2 linked regions of the Saccharomyces cerevisiae S288C genome follow. Changing the gene in region 1 together with any one later gene gives a genetic interaction. Each region holds a gene or a part of one and is shown on either strand. Other genes may lie near its edges.

The links. Genes that interact genetically often act in the same process or in processes that back each other up.
Region 2: mutations in RCR1 (region 1) and RHO4 together harm fitness more than expected from each alone (negative genetic interaction), as found in Saccharomyces cerevisiae (2 studies listed by BioGRID).

What each region holds. Positions count from the first base shown.
Region 1 is NC_001134.8:242,697-247,047, forward strand, and holds RCR1 (Rcr1p), read left to right. Parts: upstream 1-3,209; coding exon 3,210-3,851; downstream 3,852-4,351. Other genes in the region: COQ1 (trans-hexaprenyltranstransferase), read left to right, coding at 113-1,534; GPI-anchor transamidase GPI18, read right to left, coding at 1,670-2,971; UGA2 (succinate-semialdehyde dehydrogenase (NAD(P)(+))), read left to right, coding at 4,314-4,351. UniProt on the Saccharomyces cerevisiae protein: Regulates chitin deposition in the cell wall.
Region 2 is NC_001143.9:546,433-550,345, forward strand, and holds RHO4 (Rho family GTPase RHO4), read left to right. Parts: upstream 1-1,783; coding exon 1,784-2,659; downstream 2,660-3,913. Other genes in the region: DYN1 (dynein heavy chain), read right to left, coding at 1-1,493; TRM2 (tRNA (uracil(54)-C(5))-methyltransferase), read left to right, coding at 3,016-3,913. UniProt on the Saccharomyces cerevisiae protein: Plays an important role in cell growth. Required to keep the uninucleated state. May be involved in the organization of the cytoskeleton which affects microtubule functions.

The DNA of each region.
Region 1 (4,351 bases):
GGGTAACAGGGTTAGGGGATTAGAAGATTAAAGTAAGACACATTATAATCTATAGAGATTTTCTACAACACAAGAAGTGTGCCATTCAGTCCGAATTGAGTACAGTGGGACGATGTTTCAAAGGTCTGGCGCTGCTCATCACATCAAATTGATTTCATCTCGAAGATGCCGCTTTAAATCCTCCTTTGCAGTTGCTTTAAACGCTGCCAGTAAGTTGGTAACTCCCAAGATTCTTTGGAATAATCCCATATCATTAGTCTCGAAGGAGATGAACACATTGGCCAAAAATATAGTTGCCCTCATCGGGTCTGGCCATCCGGTGCTAAACAAGGTTACTAGTTACTATTTTGAAACAGAAGGCAAAAAAGTACGTCCCTTGTTAGTGTTGTTGTTGTCAAGAGCACTTTCTGAAATTCCCATGACAGAAAGAAATCACTTGAAAATTGACAAGTCGGATGTTCCTGAGGACCCAATTTACTCTAAACCTAGTCAAAATCAACTATTTCAACGTCCTGCAAGTAGCATATCCCCACTACATATTCTTCACGGTATTAAACCACTAAATCCCTTGACAAAAGGTCCTGAGCCTTTGCCAGAAGAAACTTTTGACAAACAAAGAGGGATTTTACCCAAACAGAGAAGATTAGCAGAGATTGTAGAGATGATACACACTGCGTCTTTACTTCATGATGACGTTATTGATCATTCTGATACAAGAAGAGGAAGGCCAAGCGGAAATGCTGCCTTTACCAACAAGATGGCCGTTTTGGCGGGTGATTTTCTCTTAGGGAGAGCAACAGTGTCAATTTCAAGATTACACAACCCCGAAGTCGTAGAACTAATGTCTAATAGTATTGCGAATCTTGTCGAAGGTGAGTTCATGCAACTGAAAAATACTTCCATTGACGCGGATATCGATACCATCGAAAATGGCCATAAGCTACTTCCGGTTCCTTCTAAAAAGCTTGAAGTTAAAGAGCACGACTTTCGTGTTCCAAGCCGCCAACAGGGGCTGCAATTATCTCATGATCAGATTATAGAAACTGCATTTGAATACTACATACACAAGACCTATCTGAAGACTGCTGCTTTGATATCAAAATCTTGCAGATGTGCTGCTATATTATCTGGGGCATCACCTGCCGTTATCGACGAATGCTATGATTTCGGTAGAAATCTAGGTATATGTTTCCAACTCGTAGATGATATGCTTGATTTTACTGTGTCTGGAAAAGATTTAGGGAAGCCATCCGGCGCGGATCTAAAATTAGGTATTGCTACTGCTCCAGTCTTGTTTGCATGGAAAGAAGACCCATCTTTAGGTCCACTAATTTCACGCAATTTTTCAGAGAGGGGTGATGTTGAAAAAACTATTGATTCTGTGAGACTCCATAATGGTATAGCGAAGACGAAAATACTAGCGGAGGAATATAGGGACAAGGCATTACAAAATCTACGGGATTCTCTTCCTGAATCTGATGCTCGTTCTGCCCTAGAGTTTTTAACTAATAGTATACTAACAAGAAGAAAGTAAACCTTGAAATTTCAAATAAAGGGTGAAGAATAAAGAGAAAATGAAGAAGGTCATAGTGTCGCATTATTCTATATTCTATATGTAAATAGTTTTTATATGTTTTTAGTAAAAGAAGAAATATACAAGCATTAAGGATCAGGCTGGTGGTAAAAAAGCTGCAAATAGGATAGTCTGTAAAGGTATCCAGAATGCCAACCAGTATATGTAAAACTTGACTATCTTATCGTCACCTTTCGGATTTTCCATTTTTTTTGGATCAGAAGTTTTAACCAATCTATCAGCCAAATACCAAAGGTGCAAGGGTAAAAAGGAGGCTATACGATTCAGAATTTGGACATGGGCAAAAAAGCATACTATGACGACCAGTGCTCTGGTGATCCATACGAGAGCCTTCAAGTTATAGGAGGGATAAATTTTGCTGAAATATATGGAGGAATAGATTAAAATAATAATATTTGGGACAGCAAACAAAAAGTTTGGGATGTTGTTTGGGGTCCAGTATTTCAATAACCCAACTCCCCAATAATGACTCTGAATGTAGGAATATAAAGAAGTTTTCGTGATAAAAATGCTTGAAAACAATTGAGATTTACACCATTCACCCCTTTGAGGACAAAATGTCTTATATGGTAGGTAATATTGTTGATATAGTAGAGCAGAAAACATTAATGATCCTGATAATAGTGGGAAACATATTGCTTTTACAAACTTCCTGTTCTTTGTTAGTTCAATAAGGTCAAAAATAAAGTAAATCCCTAACAAAACACAGTTTGAACGATTCAAGGATGCTAAGGTAAAGCAAGCCATGCTGATAAAGGAGTAAGGAAACCAATATCTCCACGAAATATCGAATTGACCCAATACGGGCACGGAAATGGAGCATTCACGACTCCAAATACCAACAAATGCAAAAAAAAAAGATAATGGTTCAGAATATATGCTTGTTAAAAATCCAGCGGCACTCGTTAAGAAAAACAACAGAGATGTTTTTTTAGCGATAGTTCTAGCAAACTGTGATTGCCTTATATTTTGGCTGAAAATTTTTTTTGTTAGAAAATATAAAACAATACCTGACAAGTAAAATAAAACATTTTCTATTGCAACTCCAACCCTTAAGGCATGGTAGATGCTATCGTTATTACTTTTAATAAACAGCCTAACGAAAAAAGTCCACAACTGAGAAAACGCGTATTCATGCTCAAATTGAGGTTTTCCGTTTTTGGAAGTTATGTTCTTGATAAAAAAAACACTGTCCCATGATAGTAGCTTATTCCAAAAATACTTGTTCCAATAACTGTTGATTTCAGAGGGAGAAGAACATAATTCGTTTAATAAAAGTGATGTTGATGTATCAAACTGCCTAATTGGAGTCAAAAAAACCAGTAAATACTGTATTGAACGGAATAATACAAAATAAAGTGTCAACCCCACAATCATATTTTAATTTAGTCTTATTCCGCCTCCTCTCTCGAAGCCTCTCTTTTATGTCTTTTTTCGATGATGAGGCTTACTTTTTTTTTCAACTAAGCCTTGAAAAAAAAAGTTTGATTTAAAAGGGATTTTCTATTTTAAGTATTTAAATGACCGACAGGAAGCTCATGCAGAAAAGGCACCTGTAATAGCTTATTGATCATTCCAATAAATAGGAAAGTATAACTCGAATTAAGAATAAGGAATGGGACTTATTTCATACGAAAATGAGGCGATAAACGAGGTGAAAAAGGCAGATAACCATCACGTTAGCAAATTTGTGACTAGTTACTATGGGCCATCATCGTCGTCATGGCAGTCAGGAATATGGATTTTGTTTGTGCTGTTTGTTGCCGCAGTAATCCTTATAATACTGTTCACTTTTGTAGCGAACAGAAGGAGACGAAGGATGGGGCGTGCTCCCATTAGAGGTACGGCATGGTTGACACCGCCTTCATACAGACAGTCTCAGCAACAATATACTGGGACCGTTCAGCAACGGACAGATGATTATGTTCCTGAGTATACAGAAACAGCGAACGAACATGATCTTGGATACTATGACCAGCGGGGCGAGTTTCACCCCAACGATAAGGCTGCATACGTGGCCCCCCCGCCATTGGTACAAGAATGTTCATCAGAATCTGTTAATTCTTTAGAAAGACCTCCCGCTGCTGTAGTTCACCAAGCTAACTCTTTAGATACGGATTACGGTTTAACAAGGCCTAGCAATGGGCGCGTTCCAGCTGTAAGTGATACGGTGGAGCAATTGGAAAGGCTTCCGGGCGGGACTACAACGCAGGAAATTAACCCACCGGAGAGGGCAAAGGTAAATGCAAGGTCATGAACTGAATCTTTTTTTCCGGCTGTCCTCTTACAGTTGAGTTACAATATTTTGCCAGAAATATTTACATTTTTTTACCCAATCTCTATAATAATTATTTTAATTCCTAATCCGCTTCAGGCCCGCGGTCGTTGAAGTGCTATAGTTTATATTCAGTACATTGTCTTTAATCTCTCAGTATTATTTTATCAATAGTAAATACTTCAAGTCCATCGCACGGCGTGGTGGTGATAAAGGGAAAATGCGCGCGGGATTAGCAAAGGCGGCCAATGGATTAAGGGTGACAAGATAGCACCACATCACATCACATCACCATCAGTAATGGAGAGGAAATAGGGTATAAATACTCGTCAGAGATCAATAGATATTATTTCGCAACGTCCTTTATTGTTCTGTTCTTATTTGATCAATTAAGCTAGAAAACCAGCTACATTAAAAGCAAATTTTACAAACTACTATTTCAACATGACTTTGAGTAAGTATTCTAAACCAACTCTAAACGA
Region 2 (3,913 bases), on another chromosome or scaffold:
ATGTTTTTACTGAATTCACTTTCGGCTTGCTCCAATTTCAATCGAAAATTCACGGAAATATCATGGATCTGCTCAAATGGATGATACAATCTCTGTATTTCTTCGTGATAAGTAGAAGGGGATATACTCTTAATGGTTTCTGCCAATGAAAAAAATCGCTTGCGTGTGCTTAAAATTTCATCCAAAGTAGCCTTTACGGATGCACTTGTAAATGTTAGCTTTTGTATAAGTAGCTCCTGTGGTGCTCTTTTCCTAAGATCCTCTCTTATTAAAAGATTGACATCCTGGACAATATCATCCCATTCTTCTATCATGCCTGCTGATTTTTCATATAAACCCAAAAAAGAACCATACTCTAGCTGAAATAAATCTGAAAGATTACTTAGAATTGCATCCATGACTTCTTGTGAAATTTTGTCCATCAGCACAACAAATCTTTGAACTGGATAACCTGAATATCTGAACTTCTTCAAAGAAGATGCTAAAACAGGAAATAGTTCCTGCAAGTCCTCAAGATTGCTTGCCTGGCGAACCTCATCGATAGGGATTGACGATAGAAATTGGTTATATTTATCCGCTAGCTTAAATTTATCTGAAAGTGAACCTTCATTCAATAAATTTGTTAAATTATGAAATCTCTTTGCGTTTGTTAGAACGGATAGACACACCTGAAATTCTTGGCTTTGTGTTTGTTCAATTAACGACTTCAGTACTTCGTAGAAATTCGACCAAAACTCAACTTCGTCTAAAAAAGAACCATTTTTTATATCTCTGTCAATGGCTAATGTTTGTTTAAGAACCAAAAACCATTTGTTTGCAATGCTTTGTAAAATGTTCAAAAATCTCATACTTTCCAAATCATTACTAGGAAGGTAGTTTGCATAATCATGTGAAGTAGCCCCTTTTGATACAGCCAATTTGATAATGCTAGGGACCATCGCTAAAAGATCTGGCGTTTCAATTGAGGTATGTAACTGTTGAAATTGTTTAGAAATGTCGTCAAGTTTCCTCCTCGTTTTATCTATAGTTTCGACAGAATATGTCTTTGTATCTGATTTTATCAATTGGCCAAACACAGACGATACGCCATGTGTGATAATTGAGGCCAGGTTCCCCGCATTTACTGGACCAGGTAAGTATATGGCACTTATTTGTGTTGCAATCGGTTCTGCATCCACAATAACACTTCTAGATTTAATAATTAATAGAGTAGAATACTTTTTATTCGCCAAGTTGGCATCATATATAGCCTCTTCACCAATGTCTATTGTAACTATTGTTCTATCCAGCTCTTCAAAAAGGAAGACAAACAACGTGTCGAACTCTCTCCCATCCAATAATCCCAAAAAAAATTGAAACCGTTCAAGGTATTGACAATGTAGATAATCAATGAATGCTTGCTCATTCTCTTTGGGAGAATTCTTTATACCCGTTACAGTAGCTGCAACAAATTCTATCAGCTCATTAGCAAGTCTTGCCTCATTCTTGCACATTGCCTAAAAAACGTTTTGACGTACTTTCCAATTTAAGCTCTGAACGAGTATTATTGCCCTTCTATGTTCTATGCTTTCTGTTAATTTTTATATGTAATGTTTGTTTACCTTTCATTAGCTTATTTATTAGAATCCGTACAATGCGACCTTCCGCGCATCAATTCGGGATGATCTGATTAAGTAGTTATAGCCTTACGTTAAGACGACAAAAGACATGATAAGCATCCCTCAAAAGTTACAGCAAACTTAAGTCAAATAGGTCCAAAAATCTCCAATAGTAACGCTTTTTCATGAATACACTATTATTTAAGCGAAAAGGTGGCAATTGTGGGAACGAAAGTAACATAGTTTCGCAGGGATCGCCCTCAAGTAGCAATCTTCCTGAATCACCTGGCACTTTAGATGAAAAGAATCTTCCCAGATTGCCTACTCCATTCGCTAGAAGCCTTTCTACCATTCCTAGTTATGAGCAGATGAAACGTACAAACAAACTGCCAGATTATCACCTAAAGATTGTTGTTGTGGGAGATGGCGCTGTAGGGAAGACGTGCCTGCTGATATCTTATGTCCAAGGAACATTTCCGACTGATTATATTCCTACTATTTTCGAAAATTATGTCACAAACATAGAAGGACCCAACGGTCAAATTATAGAATTGGCATTATGGGACACTGCCGGCCAAGAAGAGTATAGTAGACTTAGACCGCTTTCATATACGAATGCAGATGTGCTGATGGTGTGCTATTCTGTTGGTAGTAAGACATCGCTTAAAAATGTGGAAGATCTCTGGTTCCCAGAGGTTAAGCATTTTTGTCCTTCCACTCCAATCATGCTAGTCGGCCTTAAATCAGATCTATATGAAGCTGATAACCTTTCAGATCTGGTGGAACCAAGTTCAGCAGAATCCTTGGCCAAGCGTCTGGGGGCATTTGCACATATTCAATGCTCAGCACGATTGAAAGAAAATATCGATGAAGTATTTGAAACTGCCATACACACGTTACTTTCCGATTCATTATATGCTCCCAGAGAGCCTACACATACAATCAAAAATCCCTTTAAAAGAAATACCACCAGATCAGATATCGATTCTTCTACTGGAGATACCAGCGTCTCTATTTCCGGAACGAAAAGATTAAGAAAAAACAAGTGTATTATAATGTAAGAATAATGATGAAGATTATTCTGTTGCCCATTCTGTACGCACTTACAACATTTGAAAAGTGGCAAGAAAAAATACACACATTTTACTATCTTCCGCTATCTTATTTATCAAGACGAAACAATTAGAACCTGATTTAATTTAACTTCCATTTTTCTGAATCTGGTGTGATATACCGCTCCAATATATTCGAATTTATCCCAATTTTATCATAATAATTCATTTTAATTCGATGTCATAAAGTACTAATTCGATATTAATCTAGCCTAATTACATTAAATACTTAATAAAAGCTTCTGTGACATAAAAGTACAAATCTGTCATTTTATTTTAGAGGAATAGTTTAGGACAAAGTCATTATGTACGAACAGTTTGAATTTTCTTTTTTTTTCTTCGAAAATTCAGACAATAAGGTTAAATATAAAGCTCATCTCATCTCATCGATAAAACGCTGGAGTATTATCACATGCATGCGTTGCTTTTGGACCGTACAGAAGTCTATATTTAAAGCTAGGTTTTTCGCTTGCAGAAACTTTGTCAAGAAGCATAATTATAAACTAATCAGCACCATGACTGGAAGTACTGAAATGGTACCACCAACAATGAAACATACCGTTGACAACAAAAGGCTTTCGTCTCCTTTGACAGATTCTGGTAACCGCCGGACTAAGAAGCCAAAGTTGAGAAAGTACAAGGCCAAAAAGGTTGAAACAACTTCTCCGATGGGTGTCCTAGAATTTGAAGTGAACGATTTGTTAAAATCTCAAAATTTGTCCAGGGAGCAGGTTCTGAACGATGTTACTTCAATTCTAAATGATAAGTCCTCAACAGATGGACCTATCGTCTTACAATATCACCGAGAGGTAAAAAATGTCAAGGTCTTAGAAATTACTTCCAATGGCAACGGGTTGGCTTTGATCGATAATCCTGTTGAAACAGAAAAGAAGCAAGTTGTTATCATACCGTTTGGCCTGCCCGGTGATGTAGTTAATATCAAAGTCTTTAAGACCCACCCTTACTATGTCGAGAGTGATTTATTAGACGTAGTGGAAAAATCTCCAATGAGAAGAGATGATTTAATTAGGGATAAATATTTCGGGAAATCTTCAGGAAGTCAATTAGAGTTCTTAACTTACGATGACCAACTAGAATTGAAAAGAAAAACAATTATGAATGCCTACAAGTTCTTCGCACCAAGGTTAGTTGCTGAAAAACTTTTACCCCCATTTGACACCACCGTAGCTTCCCCTTTACAAT